2 linked regions of the Coturnix japonica genome follow. The protein of the gene in region 2 purifies or fractionates together with the protein of the main gene of each other region. This does not show direct contact. Links are inferred from orthologs where the notes say so. Each region holds a gene or a part of one and is shown on either strand. Other genes may lie near its edges.

The links.
Region 1: the proteins of MMP2 (region 2) and COL5A1 purify together in Homo sapiens (co-immunoprecipitation; 3 studies listed by BioGRID and IntAct, counting the BioPlex papers as one, with this or other methods). This does not show direct contact. The link is inferred for Coturnix japonica from reciprocal best matches to the Homo sapiens genes MMP2 and COL5A1.

What each region holds. Positions count from the first base shown.
Region 1 is NC_029532.1:6,045,480-6,057,904, forward strand, and holds part of COL5A1 (collagen alpha-1(V) chain), read left to right. Parts: intron 1-62; coding exon 63-152; intron 153-228; coding exon 229-282; intron 283-899; coding exon 900-1,007; intron 1,008-2,034; coding exon 2,035-2,142; intron 2,143-2,717; coding exon 2,718-2,771; intron 2,772-3,405; coding exon 3,406-3,459; intron 3,460-3,648; coding exon 3,649-3,756; intron 3,757-3,851; coding exon 3,852-3,905; intron 3,906-3,991; coding exon 3,992-4,099; intron 4,100-4,489; coding exon 4,490-4,543; intron 4,544-4,856; coding exon 4,857-4,964; intron 4,965-6,042; coding exon 6,043-6,096; intron 6,097-6,358; coding exon 6,359-6,412; intron 6,413-6,872; coding exon 6,873-6,926; intron 6,927-7,357; coding exon 7,358-7,411; intron 7,412-8,130; coding exon 8,131-8,238; intron 8,239-8,685; coding exon 8,686-8,739; intron 8,740-8,837; coding exon 8,838-8,891; intron 8,892-9,219; coding exon 9,220-9,327; intron 9,328-9,791; coding exon 9,792-9,845; and 9 more. UniProt on the Homo sapiens protein: Type V collagen is a member of group I collagen (fibrillar forming collagen). It is a minor connective tissue component of nearly ubiquitous distribution. Type V collagen binds to DNA, heparan sulfate, thrombospondin, heparin, and insulin.
Region 2 is NC_029526.1:2,815,416-2,827,840, forward strand, and holds part of MMP2 (72 kDa type IV collagenase), read right to left. Parts: intron 7,574-12,425; coding exon 7,400-7,573; intron 5,603-7,399; coding exon 5,429-5,602; intron 4,594-5,428; coding exon 4,438-4,593; intron 3,645-4,437; coding exon 3,491-3,644; intron 1-3,490.

The sequences.
Region 1 (12,425 bases), on a different chromosome or scaffold from region 2:
AGGGAGGAGCTGAACCTCTGTGGCATCCACATATCCTCAGATCTTTGTCCCTATCATTGCAGGGGGACCCTGGTCCTGCTGGCCTCCCAGGGAAGGATGGTCCCCCAGGCTTGCGAGGCTTCCCTGGAGAGAGAGGTCTGCCTGGCCCCATTGTAAGTATCAGCAATAGGATGCCCAGGCAGTGCAGTACACAGCTCCCCAAATGACTCTTTTTTTCCCATCTTCCAGGGTTCTCCAGGGCTGAAAGGCAACGAAGGTCCCCCAGGCCCCCCTGGTCCTGCAGTGAGTATCCTTGCCCTCCCAGGCACCACCTAACACGTTTACAAGCTTGGCAAGCTAAGTTAGTGGGTTAGTCACAGCTTAGGGCTTCATCCATTATTCCCTTTGCACTAACGAGTGGTTTGCTGGATATTGCTTTATTTTACCAGACACGTGTAATTGCTCAGTTATTTTATGGTGTTAGCTGTGAATATACGTGACAAGCTGGGGGAACAAGGATGATCCAGGACATCCAGTATTTTGCTTCTAAGTCACCAGCTTTCCCTCTGAAAATTGTTCCCACTCAAGAGTCTTGCTCAGTACAGTCCTTCTGGAAGAAAGTAGTCATTGTGGAACCCTCCCTGCTGCATTAACTATGAAGTGGTCATGCACTTGTTCCAAACCTATACTGTGCACCCAGGAACTGAGCTTCCTGCACCAGCCATTCCAGGGATTTCAATTGAAATGGATCTGCAGGACCCCTTGGGCTGATGGTATCAAGCCATCACATGGAAGTCACCCCTTCATATGTTCTCATTTATTGAGTTGTGCATTTGAAGCATTCTACTGCTGGATTTCTTTCTATATGTTGATAGCACTTGATGTTCCAGTAATCTTTTCCTTCCTCTTTCCCCACGCAGGGCTCTCCTGGTGAGCGAGGTCCTGCGGGCTCAGCTGGCCCCATTGGCTTACCAGGACGACCTGGTCCACAGGGACCTCCAGGACCTGCAGGTGAAAAGGGAGCCCCAGTAAGTACCAGTCCACAGATTAATGGATATGGGCCCTGTAGAAATAGAGCTGAGCATGGAGACAGACTGGGCGAGGTGTAAAAAAAGGAGAAGGAAAATAAGAAGATGCTACACGCTCCTGAAGCACGAAGCGTGCTGGTCGTCTGCTGACACCCGTGCAAAGATGCTGTGAGCAGATCTATGCCATATGGTCCTGCCCAGCACCCAGCCCACGTACTGTCACATCTTCTGCTCCCCCAGCACAAGCGTGAGATGCAGCAGGCAGGGCAGTGGGTGGGATGCTGCTCTTGGGTTGATGCTGAGCAGCTCAGAGCAGCTAGTCCAGAGGCAAGCATTTCCCAGTGAATCAGCCTTATGAACATCTGTCCTGCCCAGTATCTATGTGATATGCTCTTGGACAGATGAATAGGCAATTTATGTGGCATCTAATTATTCAGAAGAGAGCACCAAGTCTCAGATGCAATTAAATTATATATGAGGAAACTGAAAAATATCTACTGTTCGACTCCTATAAACAAACATATTTGAGCAAAGGCTCCAGGCTTGAGGAATACAAGTAGATGTTAACTGGGAGGCCAGCAGAGATTGCTTTATTTGCTTCATGTATTTTCCATTGTCCAGAGGTTCAGGAGGGAGCTCAGGGCTATTATTTAGCGATTAGCCATGGACAGGCAGCCCTAGCATCAGTAAGCACTGGCTTGTGGGAATTAAAATTAGTTGGAGACTTGTTTATCATCCAGAGAGAGACGGCAGAGGGTTCAGATTAAATCTAGTTATATTGCCACGGCAGTGAAATTGCAGCTGTGATCTGGGTATTCACCGTTTAGATTTGCTTGGGTTTTATCTCTGAAGATAGAAGTTTTGTCTTGTTCAGAGAGGGAGCACAGAGAGATATCAGCTGGAGGCCAGTCTTGCTACACATGCCCGTACAAGGCAGGGGTCATTAGCAGCTGAATAAAATGCTAATGGCCTTTAATGAGTCAATTGGAGAGTGGATGCATGACCTTCCTATTCCTTCTGCTTCCAGGGTGAGAAGGGTCCTCAAGGACCAGCAGGTCGTGATGGCATCCAGGGACCCGTGGGACTCCCGGGTCCAGCAGGTCCTGTTGGCCCCCCCGGCGAGGATGGAGACAAGGTGGGAACAAACAACCTCCCTGTGTTGTGCAGTGTCACTGGGAAGGAACTGGGTTGTCTACCCCATGGCCACTCTGCTGGCATTGGGTCAAACATGCAGGCTGTTGTGACACAAGGGTGTTTTATGGCACTTGCAGTCCCATGGGACAAGTGGAATTGGGTTTGGGAGAGAATGAGGCTGATTGCTTTGCAAGCACTTCTCAGCTGAAGCTGTTAGCCTCCCCATAGACTGTAGCAGGTGGCCTGCCCTCAGGTGCCTGGCCTTTCCAAATTAATTACCTTTCCCCACACACTCATTAAGACCCTCTGGACTGGAGAGTTCTTAGGAAACGATAGCTGGGATGTATCACTCATCACTGCTAACAAGGTCATGGGATGATGCTTCTGCATCACACAGTGGTTCAGGAAAGCTTAAGGATGCCAAAGGATTTGGTTACACCTGGAGCAGCCAAATCTTTGGCCTCTTTCAGAACTCGCTGGGTTGGTTCTGTGGGGATCAGCATCAGGGCATGGGACTACTGCTGAGTGGGGTGTGAGGTCCCCAGGTGAGCTAACAGTGTTCTTTGCACCTGGCAGGGTGAGATCGGGGAGCCTGGCCAGAAGGGCAGCAAGGGTGACAAAGGGGAGCAGGTGAGTGTGATGGATGTCATCTATGGCTGTTTTTTAGCTGAACGTGTGGTTATGTCTCTGCAACCAGAGAATGGTGCTGTTTTAATTTCTTCCTCTCTTTCCTTTGTCTTCTCCTTTGCTTTGTCAAATACACACACAGCGTAAAAATGAGTGTGTCTGCTGAAGTGTCCTCCTCCAGCTCCCTTGAGAAGCTTCCCTGTCACCTATATGCTATGTAAATATCTCAAGGATCAGCAGCACTTGCCTTTGGAGTTGGGCGTTCAGCTGCAATTGCTTCTTCAAATGCGTATGGCACACTGAAGGTCCCTTTGTGTGCTCAGAGCCTGGGGAATGGAAAATTAATTGCACAAGTTCTCCTGCAAATGTGCTGAAGGATGAGGTCAGGTTAAGCTGGTTTTGGCTTCTTGGCCCTGCAAGTAGGTACCTGCACCTACATGCAGAAGGTGATGCTGGGCTAAGGGTGATCTGTCAGAACCCTGGTGCATCCAGGGGGCTTGACCCCATCCTCCCCCTGCTCTCATTCAAGAGTTTATGCAGATTTAATGGATGCTATGCTCAAGGGCCTCTCATTGTACTGGTGAGGTTTTTCACTCTTTATACCTAAATGTGACTGTGCAATTCTGTTTCCTGACAGGGTCCACCAGGTCCTACAGGCCCACAAGGTCCGATCGGTCAGCCAGGTCCAGCTGTAAGTACTGTTAGCAGGAATTCTTCTTACCCCAAAATCAATGCTGAGAAGCACTGGACAGAACAGCAGTTTCTGCCAGGTGCTGCTGATACCCAGTGCATGCGGATGAGCTGCAGGTGGAGGTGGTGGGGATGGGCTTTTTGCCTGCCATGTGCCCATGCTAAGCTGAATCAGGCTGTTTCCTTATAGGGTGCTGATGGAGAGCCAGGTCCTAGAGGGCAGCAAGGCCTCTTTGGTCAGAAGGGTGATGAAGGACCTCGAGGTTTCCCCGGTCCCCCTGGCCCTGTGGGCTTGCAGGTAAGCTATGGCATCCAGTGGGTCTGGGGTGATGAGGGCTGAGGCTCTGTGGGATGTATTCACAACTACAATTATCCCTTTCTGTCCCCCCACAGGGCTTGCCTGGACCTCCAGGTGAGAAGGGAGAAACAGGTGATGTTGGGCAAATGGTAAGAAGCTTTTCTCCTCCTGTTTTCATCATTAATGTATGCATTTTTCCAAGGAGCTTGTCTGAAATGTTTCCTCTGTCCCTCAGGGTCCACCAGGTCCACCTGGGCCCAGAGGCCCCTCCGGTCCACCAGGAGCAGATGGACCCCAAGGCCCTGCTGGGGGAATAGGAAATCCTGGTGCTGTAGGAGAGAAGGTAAAGCATGTACCCCAACCTGACTGAGGGCTGCAGGTTTGCTCCAACACTTGCTGTGAGTGGGGTGGTGATGGGGTAAATGCATGGCTGTGTTCATGCAGTCTATCAATAAATAGGTGCCATTTGAAGGGAGGAGGCTTCTCCCAGTTTGAAGTGCATGTAGTGATGTCTGGGAGGTACTTATGTTAGTGATCATTTCTCAGCTAAGTAAACAGATTCATGTATACTGTGCATTTTTGTTAATATAAGCCAAGGAGGTGGAAATATACCTGAAAAAGAAAACAGTGATGCTCAATGTCCAATGACTTGCTGAAGCTTGCAGCTCTTGGAGGCCAAAGGGGTTGAGCATGTCAAGGTGTAACTGTAGGCATCCTCTGTTCCTCCCTGTAGGGTGAGCCTGGTGAATCTGGTGAGCCCGGTCTGCCTGGTGAGGTCGGCCTGCCGGTAAGTCTGCTGCTGTGGAGGAGAGCTTTTCTCCACCAAGAAATTGGCTTAAGGGGTTTCAAAGATGCACAGATGTTGCTGGGGCTGTAGGGACTGAACCAGCTGTGTCCTTTGTGGTGGGCATCAGGCAGAGACACTGCCATGTTCTGTGGTGTTCATGGGATAAATTTGGTCACTGAATGCAAGCTGTGCATGACAATGTCAACACCACTGAGTCTTTGTGTTTTAAGATATAGATGGGTTTCTTCAGAATTGATTAGAGGATAATCAGGGATCAGCAATAGTAATAGAAACACCTTTTTTTCTTTCACAGGGTCCAAAAGGTGAAAGAGGTGAAAAGGGTGAAGCAGGTCCCTCTGGTGCTGCTGGTCCACCTGGCCCTAAAGGTCCACCAGGTGATGATGGTCCCAAAGGCAGCCCTGTAAGTACCCTCTCCTGTCAAAAGAGTTCTTCCTCGTCTTGTCTTGTGGAGATTTTCACATGGGAAGTTTTTTTCTCCAGAGATTTTTGCAAAATCTGAAATAATTTACCAACCAGATTATTGCCCATCTAATATTACGCAATGATAAGCCCATTACTTCTGAGTGCTAATGAGGAAAAGACCCAGTTGTACCTTGTCTTCCAGCAGTACTTGAAATGTTAGGCTCTTCTTGCAGGCTACCAGGAAATTCATCCCTATGTAGAAGGTGGTACATCTACTTTGCACTGGAGTTTATACATTGCCAGTGTCCTCTGCACCAATGCAAAGCTTCCAAAATAGCCTAGAGGAGATTTATGTGAATTTGGGAGCCATATCTCCAGGGTCAGATCCCTGCTAATGCAAGTTGTTGTAGCTCTATTGAAGCCAGCAGGGCTGTACTGATTTATACCAGATGACAATGGTACGATATTTGTCTTCCCTGGTCCTTTGATGCTTGTTGGCTGAAGAAATTCATCATGTGATAAGCAAAGATGGTACGAAGCAGCAGAGGAGGCAGGGGAGTTAGTCATCTCCCTTAACAGATGGTTTTTGAGATGCCACATTATTGGTTGAAACCTATTGTCTGAGCGGTGCTCTGAGGATCATTTGAAGTGCACAATAGGATTGTAGGGCGAACTGTGGTGAAGTTATTTTAGTCATCGAATGATCTGAGAGTATCTTCAGGTGAAAAATGTTACACATTAAATGGAAAGGAAAAGCAAAACCTTCTAATCTTCGCGTTGCCCAGAGCTGAGAGGATTCTGCTGTCACTTGTCTAATATATTTATGAAAAGCTCGATGAAATCCCATGTTGATACTGGAGCTTTGTGTAAACTGGCTGCAGAGCTGAACTGGTAACCGTGACGGGTTGAAATTACTGAGCACATAAAGCTGGGATGTGAACTGAGCTTAGGTTTGAGGGTAAGGATTTTGCTCCCCAGGGTGGATGCACACATTGGTCATAGGGTGATGGGTATGAGTGCTCTGCAGGTTTGCAGGTGCAGTCTCTGACCTGGGGATGTCTCTCCTCTCTTTGCAGGGTCCAGTTGGTTTCCCTGGTGATCCTGGTCCTCCTGGAGAACCTGGCCCAGCTGTAAGTGTTTGTCTCACAGAGGGGCAGTCGTGTTCCTCCTCTTGATGTTGTGGAACACGACTGTGTGCTGTTCATTCACCATTAGCTCTTCTGTCATTTACTTTACTTGGGGAACAGGTAGGAAGTCCCACCATAAGAACTTTCTTTTGGGGCAGTAGCAGTGTAAAGCTTAACAACAAGCTGAACAACACCTGCAGCTTCCAATACTTTATTTAGCTCCATTCGTACCCTCAATGTGCCTGTTTTTCTTCTCATGTTTTAGGGTCAAGATGGTCCCCCTGGTGACAAAGGTGACGATGGCGAACCTGGTCAGACAGTGAGTAACCAGATGGATGGGATTTGTGTTCAGTTCCTATGGTTACTGTGTGCGGGTGCAAAGAGTTGAATGCAGAATGATGTACAGCAGCTGATTCCCACCAGCTTCCTCTGAGCAAGTCCTCTGCTCCTTCCCAGTCCTGTCCTCTCTCCTGTCTATGTGAGCCTGGCTGCTGCCATCCACCCAGGCTGCTCAGCAATACATCCAGAAAGCAAACAGTAGCTTCTAGAAAAACAAAATCTAGCCTTTCATTTTAATTTTTCCATGCCTTATGGTATTACATGGTGGGAAGAGATAAAACAGGATACCACCTGCACCCTAGGGAGGTGTCAGGAGTTGTACCGACCACCCACACCCTGGCTTGGAACAAACTCTGTATCTCTGCTTGAGTTTTACACGCTTACTTGTTCCTCCCATGTCTCATGGTGCAGTTATGACTTAATCTCCATTCTCCATCTAGGGGTCCCCAGGTCCTACAGGAGAACCAGGCCCCTCTGGACCCCCAGGAAAAAGGGTAAGCAAGTCATTTAAGAATGATTTTCCACATGTATTGGTATTTTATATATATATATATATATATTTAAAGCTAATTTTAGTACTAGTCTAAAGTAAATGTAAAGCAGTAACATGAACAAAAGAACTGAAGCAGTCTGCCATCCACAGCCATTGGAAATCAATGGGAAGTTTGGAGCTGAATTCTGTTCTTGGTGGTTTTGCTGTTGTTTTCTTAAGATTCTAAGACCCAAAAGGAAACAAAAGTTGCTCCAGCATTTCCTCTCTTGCTGGTAGAGCCCAGGGGCTTGTGCAGCAAGAAGTGAATCCGTAAAGCTTTTCAGAGATTTGCCTCTGTGTTGCCTTCCTTCCTGTGGCCGTGGCATTGCTTAGGTAGCTCCATTACAGCGTTGCATCTAACTGAGTTTTGCATCTATTTTGTGCATTTTCTAGGGCCCTCCTGGTCCAGCTGGTCCTGAAGGAAGGCAAGGAGAGAAAGGAGCCAAGGTGAGAGCTGAATGGGATTTCTTTCTTACCGTGTCTTTCATGTGCCAAACCACTCACCCTCTGACATTGTTATTTGAAAGACAGTGATTTGATCTTTGTTGTGTTACAACAAATTAGCCTGAATCTGGGGCCGCTGGCCTCAAGTCTGAATGTGTGTTTCATCTTTTAATGAACTCCATGGAGATAATCAGAGCTTGGTAAGGTCACGGGAGTGTTTTTCTTGCTTTGAAATGACAGAGTGCCATATTTGGCAATTTAATGTGCTGTAAATGAAATGGCACGCAGAGTCCTACATCATATCCCAGAGCTAACACAGCATTATTGGACCGTGGTTATTTCAGTAGGGGTAATGGGGGAAATGTAAAGCGGGATTGCAAATTACAGATTCAATTGTCATGGCAGCCTCAGGAATGCTGATGGCGGAGGACACGCTCTGCTAGCACATCTCCCAGGACATGAGCAAAGAAAGCTTTGTGCTCTGGAGAGCTTGCAGCAAAGGCTGTTCCTGCTGTAAATCAGCAACTCTGAAAAGTGAAGTTGTTTGGGAGAACGCTTTTCTTCAGCACATCGAGGATAAGGAAGCAGTAAGAAAGTCAGCAGATGGAAAATTTTGTATGCTGTGCAGGGAATTGCATTTACTCTGTGATATCCTGCTGTGTCTCTGAGAAGATGGTTTAATGCCCCAATGCTTATTAAACCATGCTGTCTCTTGCATCCAGGGTGAAGCTGGTTTGGAAGGGCCTCCTGGGAAGACAGGCCCAATTGGTCCCCAGGGTGCTCCAGGGAAGCCTGGCCCTGATGGCCTTCGAGGAATTCCTGGTCCAGTTGTGAGTACTCCCAAATACTCCTCACACCTGAGAAAGCTTTGCAGTGGGGTTGTGTTGCTGTAACCCATCTGCCTTGGAAAATGCTTTTGTTCCCAGCATAAGATGCTGTTGACAAGCAAACAGACAGTTTCCATGCTTAAGTGCCCAAGAGTAGATGAAACATCCTCAGTGGAAATGGCATAATGATGGAAACCATCACCCAGCATGTTTTATCTGAGTGCTGGGTCTACTTGCCCTCTCTCTGGATTAACGTTTCATTGAGCTCAGAAGCCACATTTCCAGTAGAGATATATTTATACTCATTTTGTGCTCATATTTTTGCCTTTATCTGTGAGAAAACATGGCAAATATCCTCTGGCATTGTGACCAGACGAGGGTGGGTTCATAATCATCTGGGAGCACTACTGTTGTGAACAATGAGTTTGAGAGGACTGCACTGTTTTACAGGGTGAACAAGGCCTTCCAGGATCCCCTGGCCCAGATGGCCCCCCAGGCCCATTGGTAAGTCCAAACCATCAAACCTGATGAGTGTTTGAGATGGGAGAAGGCTTTCTCCATGTATTCATTCTCCCCTTTGTTTTCCCTCCTGTCTTCCAAAGGGTCCACCTGGTTTGCCTGGCCTCAAAGGAGACTCTGGTCCTAAAGGAGAAAAGGTAAGTTCCATGCATGACCCCATTGGGTGGCCTGGCATCTGTGTCTGGGTGTGGGGCAGAGGGAAATGCTTGTGATGAATGTTAACATACAAAATGAACAGGTGCTCCATTGCAGCACTTTTCTGTCTGTATTTGTCACATTTCCTGTTGCAAAAAGGCAGTATTTTCACCTTGCTCTGCTACTTCCATGTGTCATGGATAACTATGTGCTCCTATCTCCTTGTTTAGATATTTGGGTTTGTCCCTATAAATGTCTTTCACAGGTAACTTTGGCATTCTGTTAAGTCCAGAGAGAAGATCGTAATTAACATCTGCCATCTTCCCCTAGGGTCATCCAGGTTTAATTGGTCTAATTGGACCTCCGGGTGAGCAGGGAGAAAAGGGCGACCGAGGTCTCCCAGGCCCCCAGGGCTCTGCAGGACCCAAGGGAGAACAGGTAAATGTTCTGTGAGACCTTCATTAATATGCTTTTCAAGTGTGGGGTTTACTGCCCTACAGTAGGTTTAGCATAGCAGAGATGGTCAGTCTCAGCATGACAACGTTGCTAGTTTTTTGAGTCATCTTTTCTATCTGAATGTGGTCTATTCTACGTATGAAATACAGAGATGCTCCAAAATGATCCACTTTAACAGCAATTGGATTCTTGAGAGTCGCATGAGAAGATCTGAGTAGACTTAGAGAGATGCAACACAAGTATGTGTCAGGAGGACTGACATACAGAGCTGTGTGCTTGAACAAGATTCCTCGGTCATAGTCTTGTCTGGATCATGCACACATTTAAAAAGCAATTTAAGCTTCAGATTTGTATGTCCCCCAAAACAAGGTGGTCAGTGATTAATTCCATAGTTGTGGGCCAGCATCGCTGCCTGCAAATCAATATTGTTCTACTCTTATTTTCAGGGTATCACAGGTCCCTCTGGACCAATCGGACCCCCAGGGCCGCCAGGATTACCGGTATGTGACCAGTAAAAGAGTAACCTTTAAACTCTTGGGGGACTGTTCAGCCCTTCTGGGGTCACCTTGGGGCTCCCAGATAACCCAGCACAGCCTTTCTGGAGTGACCTCATGTGATGATGCTAACGGCAATGGGGATTGCCCAGCTGAGCATAATACCAGCACTTGGATGTGTTTTGAGAGTGCTTTTTGTGTGCTGAAATGGACGGGAAAGAATGGGCACAAAAAGGAAGTGAATGTGAAGAGAAAAGAAATGCTGAAACTAGTATAATACAATGTATTCTGTCTCTCTCTAAGGAGAGGCTGACTTCACTGCTAACAAAGATACTAACTCCCTTCTGTATTTTTCTCTATGCAGGGTCCACCTGGTCCCAAAGGTGCTAAAGGATCATCAGTGAGTATAGACATTGTTAAGTGAAGAGGCTGAGGGTCTCTTATTAAGTGCACAGCCTGCTGTGACTCTTCCGTATCAGCAGTGTTGAGGCAATTAGCCAGAGATGGCTGTAGCAAATTCTCAGCTCAGAAATTATAATTGGGGAAGGTTTCTGTTACATGCATTGTACTTCACTGAACATCAGTGTAGCAAAGATCACAAGGAAGAATGCGGTGAATAGTCCTTAGGAGAAAAACTACTACTGTAATGCAGAGGGTCTTAAAAATAGACTGTGAAGCAGGAGGTGGCAAGCTGAAAGAACGAGGAACTCAGTGAGAAATGCAACACTGAACTGAGCTTCGTGTTACAGATCTCATAGAATCGCAGTGATTCTTTATCCTAGATCTAAATCCTATTCAGGCAGTTAAAAATTCCTCTTGGGCAGCTTCCTAAAGTTACAAATGCTTTTTACTGAGTCACTCATGTTTTTCCTTTTTTTCCACCTAGGGTCCAACGGGTCCAAAGGGTGAATCGGGTCTTCCTGGGCCCCCAGGGCCTCCTGTAAGTACAGACCATTACATAAACTTAATGGATGTTGTCATGTAGATTTCTAGAGTCCTCACAATGGAGTGACGTCCATTAGGGATGGCTGGGAAGATTGCAGAAGGTGAAGGGAGGGATTAGTAATGAGAGGAGAACAAGAGAAGAAGGAACCAATGTTGGTGGCTGGGGTTTTCCTCAATGCCACCGTGGGTGACTCAGATGTCTAGTGTGTGTCTTGTGATGCTGCTCTCCATCACCGGTGGCTGCTTTGGCTGTTTCTTCTGTCTCTTCCCCATTTGCACTGAGAAGTTGCATCTTCTTCCCCCATCCATCAGGGTCCTCCTGGAGAAGTCATCCAGCCTCTGCCCATCCAGTCTTCCAAGAGGACCAGGCGAAACATCGATGCCAGTCAGCTGGTGGACGATGGAAATGCTGACAACTACATGGACTACGCAGATGGCATGGAGGAGATTTTCGGCTCACTGAATTCCTTGAAACTGGAAATTGAGCAAATGAAGCATCCATTGGGCACTCAACATAACCCAGCTCGTACCTGCAAGGATCTCCAGCTGTGTCACCCTGATTTCCCAGATGGTGCGTCCTGGGACAGAGGGGGCGCAGGGAAAAACACAGTGGGTTCCCAACTCCAGCTGGTGAATATGGGTCAGTGCAGGAACACAACAATTCTTGGGACTCCCTGGCCCTTGTTGTCCCCTGAGGAATGTGGCTGACCAAAGAGGCAACACATAAAGTGTGGGGATATGTGTTTCAAAACAGCTGTTTGTGAAAGATCCTGCAGTATTATATGGCATCAACCACCATTTTCCTTAAAAATACATATAATAGTAGCCTACAATGGGGATGAAAGAGCCTGAGTAAGATGGTTGTTGAAATGCACTTGAATATCCCTTTACAGTGCTGATTCTTTCTTCCGCTCTCCTCCTGTCCTGCATCCAGGTGAATACTGGGTGGATCCTAACCAAGGATGTTCCAGGGACTCTTTCAAAGTGTACTGTAATTTCACAGCTGGTGGAGAGACTTGCATCTTCCCTGATAAGAAGTCTGAAGGAGTAAGTCTTTCTTTTTCTTTCATATCATGAAGATAAAAGATTGTTTCCTAATATGAGTATTCATATACATGGTGTTGATTGTGTTAATGTGTACTGATCTGCTTCGTTGACCCATACTCTTAATTTTTGTCACTTATCCACGTGCTGTTTTATGGAGCTGCTCTCCCTGCAGCAGAGCTGCTCTGCTGGACCCAGACTGTGATGCTCCTTAAATGCAAATTGTGCTACTCTTGCAGGGTACCATAAGTTTGAGAAAGGCTCAGCCTGCTGTTTTTTTCACAGGGAGGACCTTGAACAGCTATCACAGCAGCATTAAGTGTCGGATGAATGGTTTTATTATAAGCCATAGCAGAGTTTAAGACATATCCCCTTTCCGTCCGTCCTTAACGCAGTAGAAACACGCAAATTTGCTTTATGGTTTGCAGACTGTAAGGAAAGGACAGTCCCAGGACACCTGCAGTAAAGTTTGCCCATTGGTTTTGGAGAGATTTACAGCAGAAGTGAGGGAATTTTTGGAAGAGGAAGGAGAGCACACAGCAGCTGTGCTCTTTCCTTGTGCTTTGCCTGGAAAACAAGTGGTTCAGCTGCTCGAGT
Region 2 (12,425 bases):
TCACTCCATTAAAATTATGTATTCATTAAATCAGACATATGGTACTAATAATTAATGTAGTGGTAAGCTAATTCACTCTCATTTTGCAAGCACAAATATATTTTTAATGTGTACAAAAATATATGAGTATATCACATAATCTTCTGTTTAGGAAAGAGGAGAAAAATGAGGTGTTTAGCTAATTGCTCTTAGGGAAGTTTTAAAGTGCATTCAAAATACAGTAAAAGATAATGATAATATGTATTTTGTCTATCTTGTTTTAGACAGCAAAGTAGATTTAATATGATATAAAATGGAGATCCATATACAAAATCTTTCCAACACTGCATTCATAAAAGTAGCTCCTTTACAGATGCAGGTTATAGGATTCTTAGTCAAATTTGGAACTGATTTATGGCTGAGTCAGCACTAATAATTTCTATTTGCATGAGTTCCAAACTTTTTAGAGCCAATGGAGACTTGAATACAGGAGCTTTTATTAAAGCACACATTTTGAGGGACTTGTTGAAATGGTGAGGTTTTCTCTTGGAAAGGGAATCTTTGCCGGAGTTGTATTTCCTTTTGTTTCTTGATTGAGTAAGAAGTGTTTTTACTACTCCTCTTATTGAGGAAATGGTGGAAATACTTGGCTTTGTCATTTCTCTTTGAAAATGTTGAAATGTTTAAACAGGCTAAATTTTAATATTATATAGAGAGAGATTTCATACAACTTTATGCTCGGTGTTTTACATTATATTTTAGCATAATATTTGCCATTATAATTTGTAATATTACTAGTATATGCAGTTATATAGAGGGACCAAATTGCTGGGTCATAGTCAAACATTTTGGTTGCTTTGAAAATACTGATCCAGTAAAAGGCTCAGTGGTTCCCTGTGTATTCCCATTTATTTATTTGGTTTCAGATGTGATTTGAAGGAAAAGGAAAGATTATTTTTTGAGAGAATTTGCCTGATCTGGCCTCCTTTTTTACTACTTGCTCCTTATGGCAATGTAATGTGACAGCTGGAATCATTTTCATGAATCATAGAAGTCACACAACAAAATAGACATTTTGTTTCTTGAATTCCAAAAGTGAATCATAGTGTTGCTTGCCTGGTATTTTGAAAGCTGCAAGACTGACAGACAAATCTGTTCCAGAGCGAAACAATTAAACAATTGTCTGCTTTTGCTGAATGTTAGATAAGGACTGAGGCAGATGAACAGATTGTCTTGTATTTGCATAGTTCTTTGACCGACTGGATCTGAATGCAGAATACTTCTATTTTGTTCAGATTACAAAGAACAGTGAATTGCTCTGCTGATTTTGAAATTGATTTAAAATGGTTCCTTGCTGGATCAAGCCCTGTGTGGTTACTGCTTCACAAAAGCAGAAGTGAGGTGGAGGTCGTGGCTGAAAGCCAACACGCACAGGTGAGCCAAAGACAGTAAGGATGCTGTGAACACTGTGGAACTTGTAAGGATGTTTACTGCTTTGAGAATGTGTTTTTCTTTTTGAAAGCACTGAGATGCGGTGAATACTTGAGTGCTCTGATTATGCTAGCAGAGGGGAATGCTGTTTTTGGCAAACCTGTTAGGCCAAAGTGCTGAGGCCAGCTCTGCAGTTTTCTGGAGGAAGGGTCCAGAGCTGGCTTTCTGTGAAGCTGGCCTGTTGGTAGAGTGAGACCATTTTTTGGCCAAGCAGGGGCTATTTCTAGCTATTACAGATGATTGGCTTATAAGGGGTCTGATCCTGCTCCTTTTGGGGCAGAGGAACAGTATTACACTCTGCCTCCTGGACATACTGAACAAATCCTTTTTGCCTGTAGTAGTTGTAATCCAAATGGGGAACATTAGAAGTTCCTAGTTATAATAACATAATCACAGCCTCTGCATTGCTGAAACTTAAAGCATTCAATAAAGATTATTTTTGGTTTGTTGACAATCTGTCAAGGAGCAAAGAAAAAATGAGTTTCAGTATGTCAGATTGGGATACTTGTGTGTTTACATATGCTAGGAGATGAAGTTTGATTTGGGCATACACGCTGAAAATACATGGTCCTAGATCTTCAGCTGCTTTGGAAGAATGTTCACAGCAACTGAGGATGAATGGATAAACCAGGCTTTGATTTATGGAAGGGAGAATAGAGCTTTAGAGTATCTCAAGCATGGTGACGCCAAGTCTCATAGTCTTTAGGAGATGCTCTTCATTGCTGAGCAGCTGGGTAATACAGGGCCTGGCAAAGGCAGTGGAAGCTGCAGCTGTGCAGCTGCCTCGTTTTATCAGGAATGTGTTCTTTTGGACCAAAAAGGCCTCTTGTGTCTTCTGCTTTGGAGCCTTTGCACTCATGCGGCCTGTTGTAATCATCAGTGTCTTTGATGTGTAATTATGGCAGCTGTGTGCCACATAATACTAGTATTTAATGATTTTGAACTAAACCTAGATAAAACCATTCAAGGACAGATTTGCTGGGAGATTTCCATAGCTGTGTCTTTGTGCACATGGGAGAAAAACAGATCCTCTTTGGACCAGGCCATTGTAATGCCTACATTCAAGTTTTGCTTGACATTGTCTCTGTGATAGAGGAGGCACTGGAGATTTTTGTCACCAGTTCTGGATAGAGTACTTCTGTTGAGATGTGTTCAGGTTGGAAATTTTCCCAGAGTCAGATTTGAATCTTTCCTCTGGAGTGCAGATTATGTGGAATGAAATAAGGAAGGATAGTGCCTCCAGAACTGTACTCAGCTGAAAGTAATGGGATTTCCAGTGCTGAATTACTATCCTTGTAGAAACATTGGGAAATATTTTATAGGGAGTGAATCCTTCTTTGGCAGGTAATAGATGGCATAATGCATCTCTTCCATTGCTAATTTTTTGATTCACATTACGGACTGGTAAATCTCTTAAGATGTGGGAGGGGAGTCAGATACTTGTGTAAACATGTAGAAGTTGAGATACATTTCCCAGCTACTTGACACTTTAGAGCTGATTGCAGCTCTGTAGAAGCCTGCAGAGACACCAAGGTTAATTTTAGCTCTCCAGTCTGTATGATTGGGCTGAAGATACCATGAGAACAAGTTATTTCTTTCTTGAGGTTACTTGCATTTTGCTCAGATTTTGGTTATAACTAGTATTGGCCCAGCTGTCATAACATCTTGGTATGAACATTCCCAGTGCAGACGGAAGACAAAAGTTAAAAATCACTGTAAAACTACACAGTGGGCTGGGAAGTCCTGCACACTGGAAGGTGTAACAGCCCCAAGCACCACTACTTACTGGTGAGGTGAGGACCTGGTGAACACTGGTCTGACAGCAGTGTGCAGGAGGCTGTGTTACCTAACCATTACAAGAGAAGGTGCCATTTCTTTTCTCCTAGGAGTTGCTTAGGACATGTTGCTATTTCTGGGCATACAAAAGAAATAACAGATTGTATTTGATTGTAATTTCCTAGACTCCAGTGAACAGGCTTGATACTTCAGGCCCCATCAGGATACAATTTATCTCACTTACCTGTCTTTGAAGAAAAATATTTCTCCTCGAATTTGTGCTACTCCATCAAATACAATGTCATGCTTGCAGAGCTCTGGAGTGACAGGTCCAAGGGTAGGACGTGGTCCTGGCCCAGGTCCTGGCCCTGGTCCGGGTTCCACATCAGGTGATACATCTGTAAGAGCAAAGAGAGGGATTCTGGGTGTTCTATTATGCTGTAATGTAGTGCTGCATCCATAATGGAGATCACAACCAATCATAATTAATACAAGGGAATATCTTTGAAAAAGGTTTTGAAGAGTAAAAAATTCTAATGAAGTCTTACAAGGAAGGGTGGCTGTGTCCCGCTGAGAAGGCCTTAGCTTCCAGTCCTGCCCGAATCTGCTGTGACAGCATTGGAGATAGCACACCTAGCTGTGCCTGTTGTGTTTAGCTGTCTATTTAAGTGTAAGATGCAGGGTTGACTACATTGGGTTTGAATGTTAACATTACAGTTTTTACTATAGTGATTTGTAGAATGAAGGGAAATGCACTTTGAAGTCCTTCTATTCAGAATTCTCTGCAACTCAGCTGAGACATCAGAATGGACTTTTCTTCTTTTTACTAGTGCTAATATTTTACAGATTATAAAGATGAATTATGAGCAATTTGTGTATGGTCCTTGTGTCTCTAACACTAATCAAAATGTGCGTTTCATAACATACTCTTTGCTTGTCATTTGTCGGGGGAGGGGGGGAGGAGGTTGGAGGCTCTTGTTTTTGCAGTAAATTTAATAGCTCCTCATCCTTAAGTTGTGTCTTTAAAGTAAAACCCCTGGCAGTAACATGAAGCAACTAGGGAAAGGAACAGGATGTTTCTGGTATTTGTGATATTGTGTGTTAGGACATCTACTGCGGGTTCAAAGTCCCAAAGGTCAACCTGTGCTCCTTACATTTCTGATGAATTCTGCCAATGAGGGACAACTTTACCATATAACTCCTGGATCCCCTTAATGTCATCCTGAGAAAGGCGGAAGTTCTTGGTGTAGGTGTAGATCGGGGCCATGAGAGCTCCTGGGTCCTCAGAGTGCTCTAATCCCATAGCATGGCCAAATTCGTGGGCAGCAACCAAGAAGAGACTGTATCCTGGATAACACAGCAAGTTAGTATCATCTGCGTTGTATCTCAATAAAAAGCCACCATGCAGGTTAGTTACGGTTTCATTTCATTGATATTTGTCAAAAGTTTCCCAATCCTAAGCAAAATAATTAGTATTTACAGCCTCCAATTACATATGTCATACACAGATCCAGAATGGTATCTCATTAGAGAATGCGAAACCTCTATCTGATGTTGCTGTAGTCTCACATATAATTTTGAACACAGTCAGTCTTAATACTTACGTGAAACAAGGAAGTGTAATAAATTAAGTCATAGATATTTTTTAAGCACAGAAGAATTGAACTTGCCATCTAGATCTCAAATCATTGAAGTGTTAAACAGGTCTGAATAGCTCTGACCCTAAACAAAGCCTGAACCAGCACTGTTGTACCAAAGACTAGGTTTTAAAAATCTGTTGTAGGAACATTTTTTATCACTTATGTCCAAACAGTCTCTAAAATATAGTAAAAAGGAAAATAATCAAAAATCCAAATCTAGCTAAAATGCTTTTACATTATTTAATTTTATCAATTATTAACTAATTAAACTTTAAATACTTGTATTCAGTATATAAACTTAGCAGGGCTCTCCTAACTCCCCGTGCCCTTTCTTTTCCTTTCATGTCTGGCAATATGTGTTCCAAATGGATTCATTTTTAACACTTAGTGTTTGTTCCTGATTTGATTAGCACTGAAGTCTCATTCCTATGTAATGTGATAAATTCTATAGTACATGTGCGTATTAAATTTGATGGGAAATTTGCTCATGGAAGAAAAACTACTGTGTTGTTACCATGGTTGGTGCTCTGACACCGTGTTACCTTGATCTGGACAGAAGCCCCACTTGCGGTCATCATCATAGCTGCTGGTAGAAGCACACCACAGCTTGCCATCATTGCGACCTGCACTTGTACAGGAGTCATATTTATTCCCAAGGAAGATGAAGGGGAATACACAAGGAGCTCCTTCTGAATTTCCACCAACTGTTGACATGGCTGTGAAAAACAGTAGAGAAACAGTAATAAGGGAATCTCATTTGTAAGCTTAATCAGATGAATATTTTCTGAAGCTAAACATTAAAAAGGCAAAGTGAGCAAAAAATCTGAAATACTCTTAACAATGTCAAGAATAAGATTAAAAGTAATATTAAGGAAGAAAATCCTCTGGCACAGAAAGAAGGCAAAGGTCTAGCTATTGCCATGGCTATGAACATGTCATTACTTTTGATGGGAAGAATTGCTGGCCCTCTGTGTACAGCTTTGAGAAAGAAATGGGTAGCAATGTTTTGTGGAGGAAGGTTGCATAGCAAATATATTTTGTTGTCATTTTGATAATGTGTTTCCTGTATTAATGTATCTAAGGAAGATCCACAGTAGGCTTAGTGTCAGAAAAGTCAAAGGGCCATTGAGTATCTCCTGGTTCTTTGTTGTCTTCACTGAAATATAAGCTTTCAATGAAAAAAAGTCTGGTGGAGAAGTCAAAACGTCATATCTCATAGATTGAAGAATTGCTTTATGTTGGCAGCAGGATGCATTTTGAAAGCACGTGGTTTTAAACTTTCTCTAATTGAGTGGTTTATTTTATTTTTACAATACTGAAACAAAAACTTGCAAAAATTTCCCCTAAAATATTTCACAGCCCTGAAGTATATGACAATATGTAATAACATATAAATAAATAGCTGGAAAGCTTAATCTTACATGTATTTCATTGTTTCAGTAATGGAAACTCTTTAGTATTTACAGCCTCCAATTACATATGTCATACACAGATCCAGAATCTCATAAGAGATTGGCTTCAGGTTCTTCTACTTGTTGAGCTGTGGATTCTATTGCTTCTTTTTGCTGTTGAACTATGCTTCAGATTTTTAACTTCTTAACTATGTATGATGATACAAAGAATTTGACCCTTTCTTTAATTTTAATTTTTTCTTCTATAATCATTTCTAAGGTAAAATTGAAAAGTTGCACCCAGATATCAGAAGTATCAGGAAACCAGACACTGATACAAATCCATATTTCAGATGAGTCGGGCATTTTCACAAGACTGGCAAAGCAGGGTACACCTGTGTGCTCCCAGCTGGCAGTTGTGCTGGCTGTGCACAGAGGCTTATGGCCCATTGTGTGTGAGCACAGCTTCACCTCTGGCAACAGGCTGAGATTTTAGAACTGCAACTACTTACTCATTAAGTCTCAGTAATTGTATCTGTAGCCTGTATCCTAAAATTGAAAACATGCCAAGCTAAAAAAAGCTTAAAAAAAAAAAAAAAAGTTTAAAAAAAAAAAAGAAAAGAAAAAAAAAATTGTAGAGAAAGCAGGGATTTATTTTCCTGCTTAAAACATTTCCCTCGGTTCTCCTGATCTGCTAAAAAGATCCATTAGTTCAAGCTTACTGTTCTAAACAGGATTTATTTTTCCCCATATGTAAATGTTAAAATATTACTTATTGAGAATCAGGAGTTAAAATTTTGCTCATGCTCTATTCTGTCCCGAATCTTCTCTTTCAGGACCATTAGCAAATTGTAATCTACTCATAATTGTCATGCAGTGGTAGACATTTAGTCCTACGGTTCAATGACTTTTGTATATCCTGGATAAATCTGCTGTAGTACTGTGTGCCACATACAGTATCCCTTACACAGATTGCTCCATTTCAGTTACTTCCTTGGCCACCAATACTGAAATTGTACCTGGCTTAGTGACTTCTGTAGGTTTTGGTAAAGGTGTGAGAAATATTTTTGTTACTTAAAGCAATGACAAATTATACTGTTATTCATACTGTGTTCCTCATACCAGTTTCTGGGCAGAATCCATATTTCTTATCTCTATCGTAGTCTTCAGTGGTTCCACACCATCTGTATCCATCTGTCCTGCCTTCTGTTGTACATTGGTCATAGGACTGGCCTTGAAATTTAAAGGGAAACTTGCATGGCTGTCCATCACCATTGCCACCCATTGTAAAGAGTGCTGTTGGGAAACCAGAAGAGGAAAATATTAAAACACAATGCTCTGAATCCATGAGAAATCATATTGTGCCCCTGGTGATGTTTGAGGTCTTGACATTGATTAGGTACACATTGTGTGCAGTGTTCACTTAAAGCCTCTATTTTACACCAAAAATACTTTGATAAGAGAGATGGATGTGTTACAGTCTCGCTAGTGGGGAAATGAGGAACAGAAAGGAATAACTGCAGATAAAGTGGGAATGAAGAAAACTGTACTAAGCTGTTGGAATGCGGTGAGGATTGTTATATTGTATGAATCATATATTGTATGAATCCTTTGTAGCCTTCCATTACCTAAAACATTTAATGTATCTTCTTCAAACAATGTTTCTAAAAACCATTCTGATAAATGATTCACATTCCTTAGTGCTTTGCTGATTAACATTCATCAGAATTGTTAGCTAGGATGGTCAACTCTGTACAGAGTCTTGGACAGTTTTCCTAACAGCTTTTTGTTTAAGCTTCATACTTTAAGATTCTAGCTTGTGGTAGAGTTAGTTAAATAATATATCCTGAAGGCATTTCCCTTAGGTTTTGCTTCTCATTTCCAAGCATCCACACAGCTGTGCTCAAGCACTCCCTAGACAAGCAAGACAACAAATCTGAATGCTGGGAGTTCCTCCTGCTTTTTGCTTTGTCAGTGCTCCCAGGCTGATTTTGTTGGGACTGTTTGTTAACTGTGCACATACACAAACAGGTCCCCATGGCTCATCTGTGAGAACAGCAAGTCTCTCATGTAGATGGAGTAGGTTAAACAAAGTCAAAAGTCCTGGGACTTGTTTTGGGATTTGAGTAAAATTTCTGGAATTGCATCCAAGCTGAACTGCATGAAAATACAGAAGGCTCAGAGCAGTCACAAGATTTGAATCTGCCTGTCTTTTCTCTGCCACTCTATAGGCAGGAATCCTTAGTGGTATGACTGTCCCTGTGAGTGCCATGTGCCTCAGGGCAACAGGCTTGGCTAGACTTGCACTGAACTGAGACCTAAACATCCTCCAAGCTGCCATATACTGTTTCTCATTGAGATTTAAGCAGGGCACCTCAGAGTGAAACTTTGAAGACAGGCTGAGGGAGCTGGGCTTATTCAGCCTGAAGAAGAGAATGCTGATAGGTGAACACATTGCAGCCTTCCAGTACCTAAAGGGAGCCTATAAACAGGAGGCAAGTCAGCTCTTTACAAGGGTAGATAATAGAAGGAAAAGGGGAAATGGTTTTAAGTTAAAGGAGGGAATATTTAGGTTGGCTACTGGGGGAAGTTCTTTACTCTGAGAATGGTAAGGTGCTGGAACAGGCTGCCCAGAGAGACTATGGATGCCCTGTCCCTGGAGGGGTCCAGAGCCAGGTTGGATGGGGCCCTGGGCAGCCTGGTCTGGTATTAAATGTGAAGGTTGGCAGCAGGGGGGTTGGAGCTTGATGGTCCTCGAGGTCCCTTTCAACACAAGCCATTCTATGATTCCACGAGCTGTGTGAATTGCCATTGTGAAGAATGCATGATTTGACCTCCTTAAGATCACCAGGAGGACATCTTTCTCCTCTTCCCCCGCTATAAATCCAAAGCTAAATCCCAAACATTATGCAGGAAGGCTTACCAAGTTGTTTACAACTTTGTTGCTATCATTTCTGATGACCAGATAGCTCTTGTAGCTTCAGTGTTTTTGTGTGGGTTTTGAGGGTTTATGTCTTTGCTTAGTCTGATATGCAGCTGGGAAGAGATAGTGTTTATCAGCAAGCGTTACCTTTTAGAGTAGGAATAAATAAAAAGCCAATATTTTTTTTTTCCTGGCAGAAGGGCAGCTGAGAAGGGTTCTGATGATGGGATATTGTGACACAAATGATTCATTTTGCTTTTTCCACTTAAATCAGCAATTGGCCACAGGATCAAGGGTATGAACAATTACTGAAGTAAGTTCCTGTCCCAGTACAGAGAGGACTTGGATCTTTCAGGCCTGGCTCACGTAGGAGGGTGTTCTGAACTTCAGATCAGAAGATCTTGCCAAGCTTTTCTCCAGGTCCTTCTGCATCTTTGACATGGAGGCAGCCACAGAGTTCTTATCTCTAGGCAAAAGGTGCTCATTGATGTAATGACGACATACACTGTGCCTCCCCAAAAGAGCAAACTGTGAATGTTTGTATTTTTTTAATATTCTGCAGTAAATAGGAAACATATTAACTAGGACTACGTCTGCCCTGATTGGAGAAATCCTTTTTATTTTTTAAAAGATAGATTTGGAAAGCAAAATTAAGCTAAGTTTTTGAGATGACTCATTTACCACATGGGCTGCTTCCAAAACTAGATCTGGCAAATTCTTATTTAATAGCTTTTATTATTATTATTTAAAAAAACAGTTAAAGCATGGCTTAGTTGCAGAAAACATAAATAAAGTCAGTCTTGTACAGCGTTCCTTGGAGTGCTTCTGAGTCACAGTCAGAAGAGTTTTTCATTTTGTTTGATATAACATCATGTGATGGCAACATCAGAGCTTTAAGTTTTCAAGGATTCCCTCCCTCCATCCCCAACAATTACTAGAAAAGTCTTTGCTTGGATGTGAATGAAAAGTAAAGGGACTAGTTTCCCCAGAACAAACTAGTAAGGACGTTAGTGGATTGTAAGATCTTAAAAGGGCCTGTCTCTTGTTCTGCATCATAGTAAATTCAACAGTTTAAAATTTGTAAAGTTCTACAGCTGCAGCAGTAGATTTAAGCTGGACATAACTGATCTGTGAGCTGCAATGTGCTGTTAGTTCTTCCCAGAAAAATCAGCCACTGGTGATGTTAGGAAACCTCAGGCTGGAAGGCTGCTAAAACCATGTGGCACAGGCCCAAGGTGGAGGTGGCTGCAGCTACAGGAGATGAGGATGCAGCCTGAGAAAGCAGTCAAGCTGCAGTGACAGCCTACAGTGTGACTGGTGCAAGAAGTATTTGGCCTGTAGGAGTTGCAGAGGAAACCTGTTTTTTTTTTCCTGTTTTTCCTATTCAGGACATTGTCCAGTTTTCTAAGTTGGTCTGATACAACCTGCTGCCTTGAATCAAGATCTTGATATTAAAGATGGCATAACTGGGAGAACCCCATTGACTTAAACCTCAAGCCGACAAACTGTGATGTGACCATCTGGTTAGCATACGTGTATTTCATTGGTGTACAAAGCTCTGGAGTAAGACAGATAGCAGTAATGTTAGGTGTCGGAGGGCCAAGATTTGGAGTCTTAACTCCCTGTAGTGTAAGTGGACTTTGGTAGAGAGAGTGATTTAACATCCCTTGATCCCATAAGGTAAAGGAGAGGTTTTACACAGTTGTATAACATGAGTGCAGTACATAGACAACTTTCTGCTTTCCCTTACTTTCCTTTAAAAATGATCTCTTAGCCTACAAATGAGGGTACAGATCTGAGATGTACTTTAGAAAGGCCTAGTGCAATACTACAGCTTTAAGGCAGATGTTTCCAAATGAGCACTGTGCCATACTGAGGTGAATTGAACCTAACTTTGGTGAATTAAAAGACAGAAACAAACACCAACAATTAGGAATATTGACTCCAACATAAGCTGTATGATGTAAATCCTCTATCTGAATTTATTAGCAGGGTTTAGCAAATGGAGTCTCGGAATAATGAGTAAACAATGCTGCTCTGAATTTAATAAGAAACATCTGTGCAGAACTGCTCAAGGATCTTGCGAAACAATTACATCAGAAACAAAAGGTTGAAATCGTTCTGTTCCGTTTCAGAAACCTTGATACAAGCATTTCCAGGAACACCAAATTGCAGAACCAACTCCTACTGAGAGTGCTTCACTGCTCCCATTTTCTGTCTTGTATGGTTTTTGCATTTTACAAAGGTATTGGTCATGGTGTGCAGATGTCTGTTTGACCAGCTTCCTGTAATATAGGCCTAATTCAAACAGTCTCTGAGCATCTGAGCTATCTTAAGAAAAATAAACCCAATTCTGCTCTTTTCCAGCTGGAAGGATTAACCTATGAGAGGGGAGATTTGAGGGAGGGTGGGGAGAGAAAGAGTAAAAGAGCAAAAAGCAGAGTTTGAGGAAGGGATTTGATTGTGCAGTTCTGTACATGTGTGCACGTGCCATTTACTGAAGTAAATGAAGAGGCTAGTTCTGAAAGGAATGCAGCTAATTGTAATATCTCTTCATTAACTGAAATGTGTTAAACGTTCATGTTCTTTTTTCTTCATCTGCTATGCCCATACAAATAGTTGTCACCATGGTAGATCCCAGCTCTAGATATGGTATAGAATGGGCAATTAGGTTTTTGGAGAGAAAAGCATACTTTTTTTTAATGAATGCTAAAGGACTGTTTATATTCTGCAACAGATTTTCTCTGACAGCTGTTAGCTTGCTTCTAAAGAAATATTATCTTCTATTGGAAAGTGTACAGTCTTGAAAATAAACTTAGTGCTGTTGTTCCAAGCTGGATTATCATCCGTCCAGCAAAAGTTCCAATATTTTCTGTTTTGCTCTCTTTCATAGCTGCCATTATTTGCTGTGTCACAGCAGTAACAGTTATAGTGGTGATGTGTGCTCACTGCTCAGATGTCAGGTAACAGGAATGATGAAACACTGCCTGCTCCCAAAAGTTGACAGCAATTGGTTATGTACGAAGGGCAAAAATGAGCATGGGAAACTGCAGTACTGGAACAAAGCGAGTGGTTAAAAGCTCCTTATTTTCTCTGTCCTTTTCTCTTATGGCATTGATTTATGAAGGCTGCAGCTAGTTATACTCAATTGCCTCTCTGAAGTTTCCCTGCTGTGTGATATAGGGGAGATCAAATTAACACTTGTACAGGAATGAATTGTCTGAA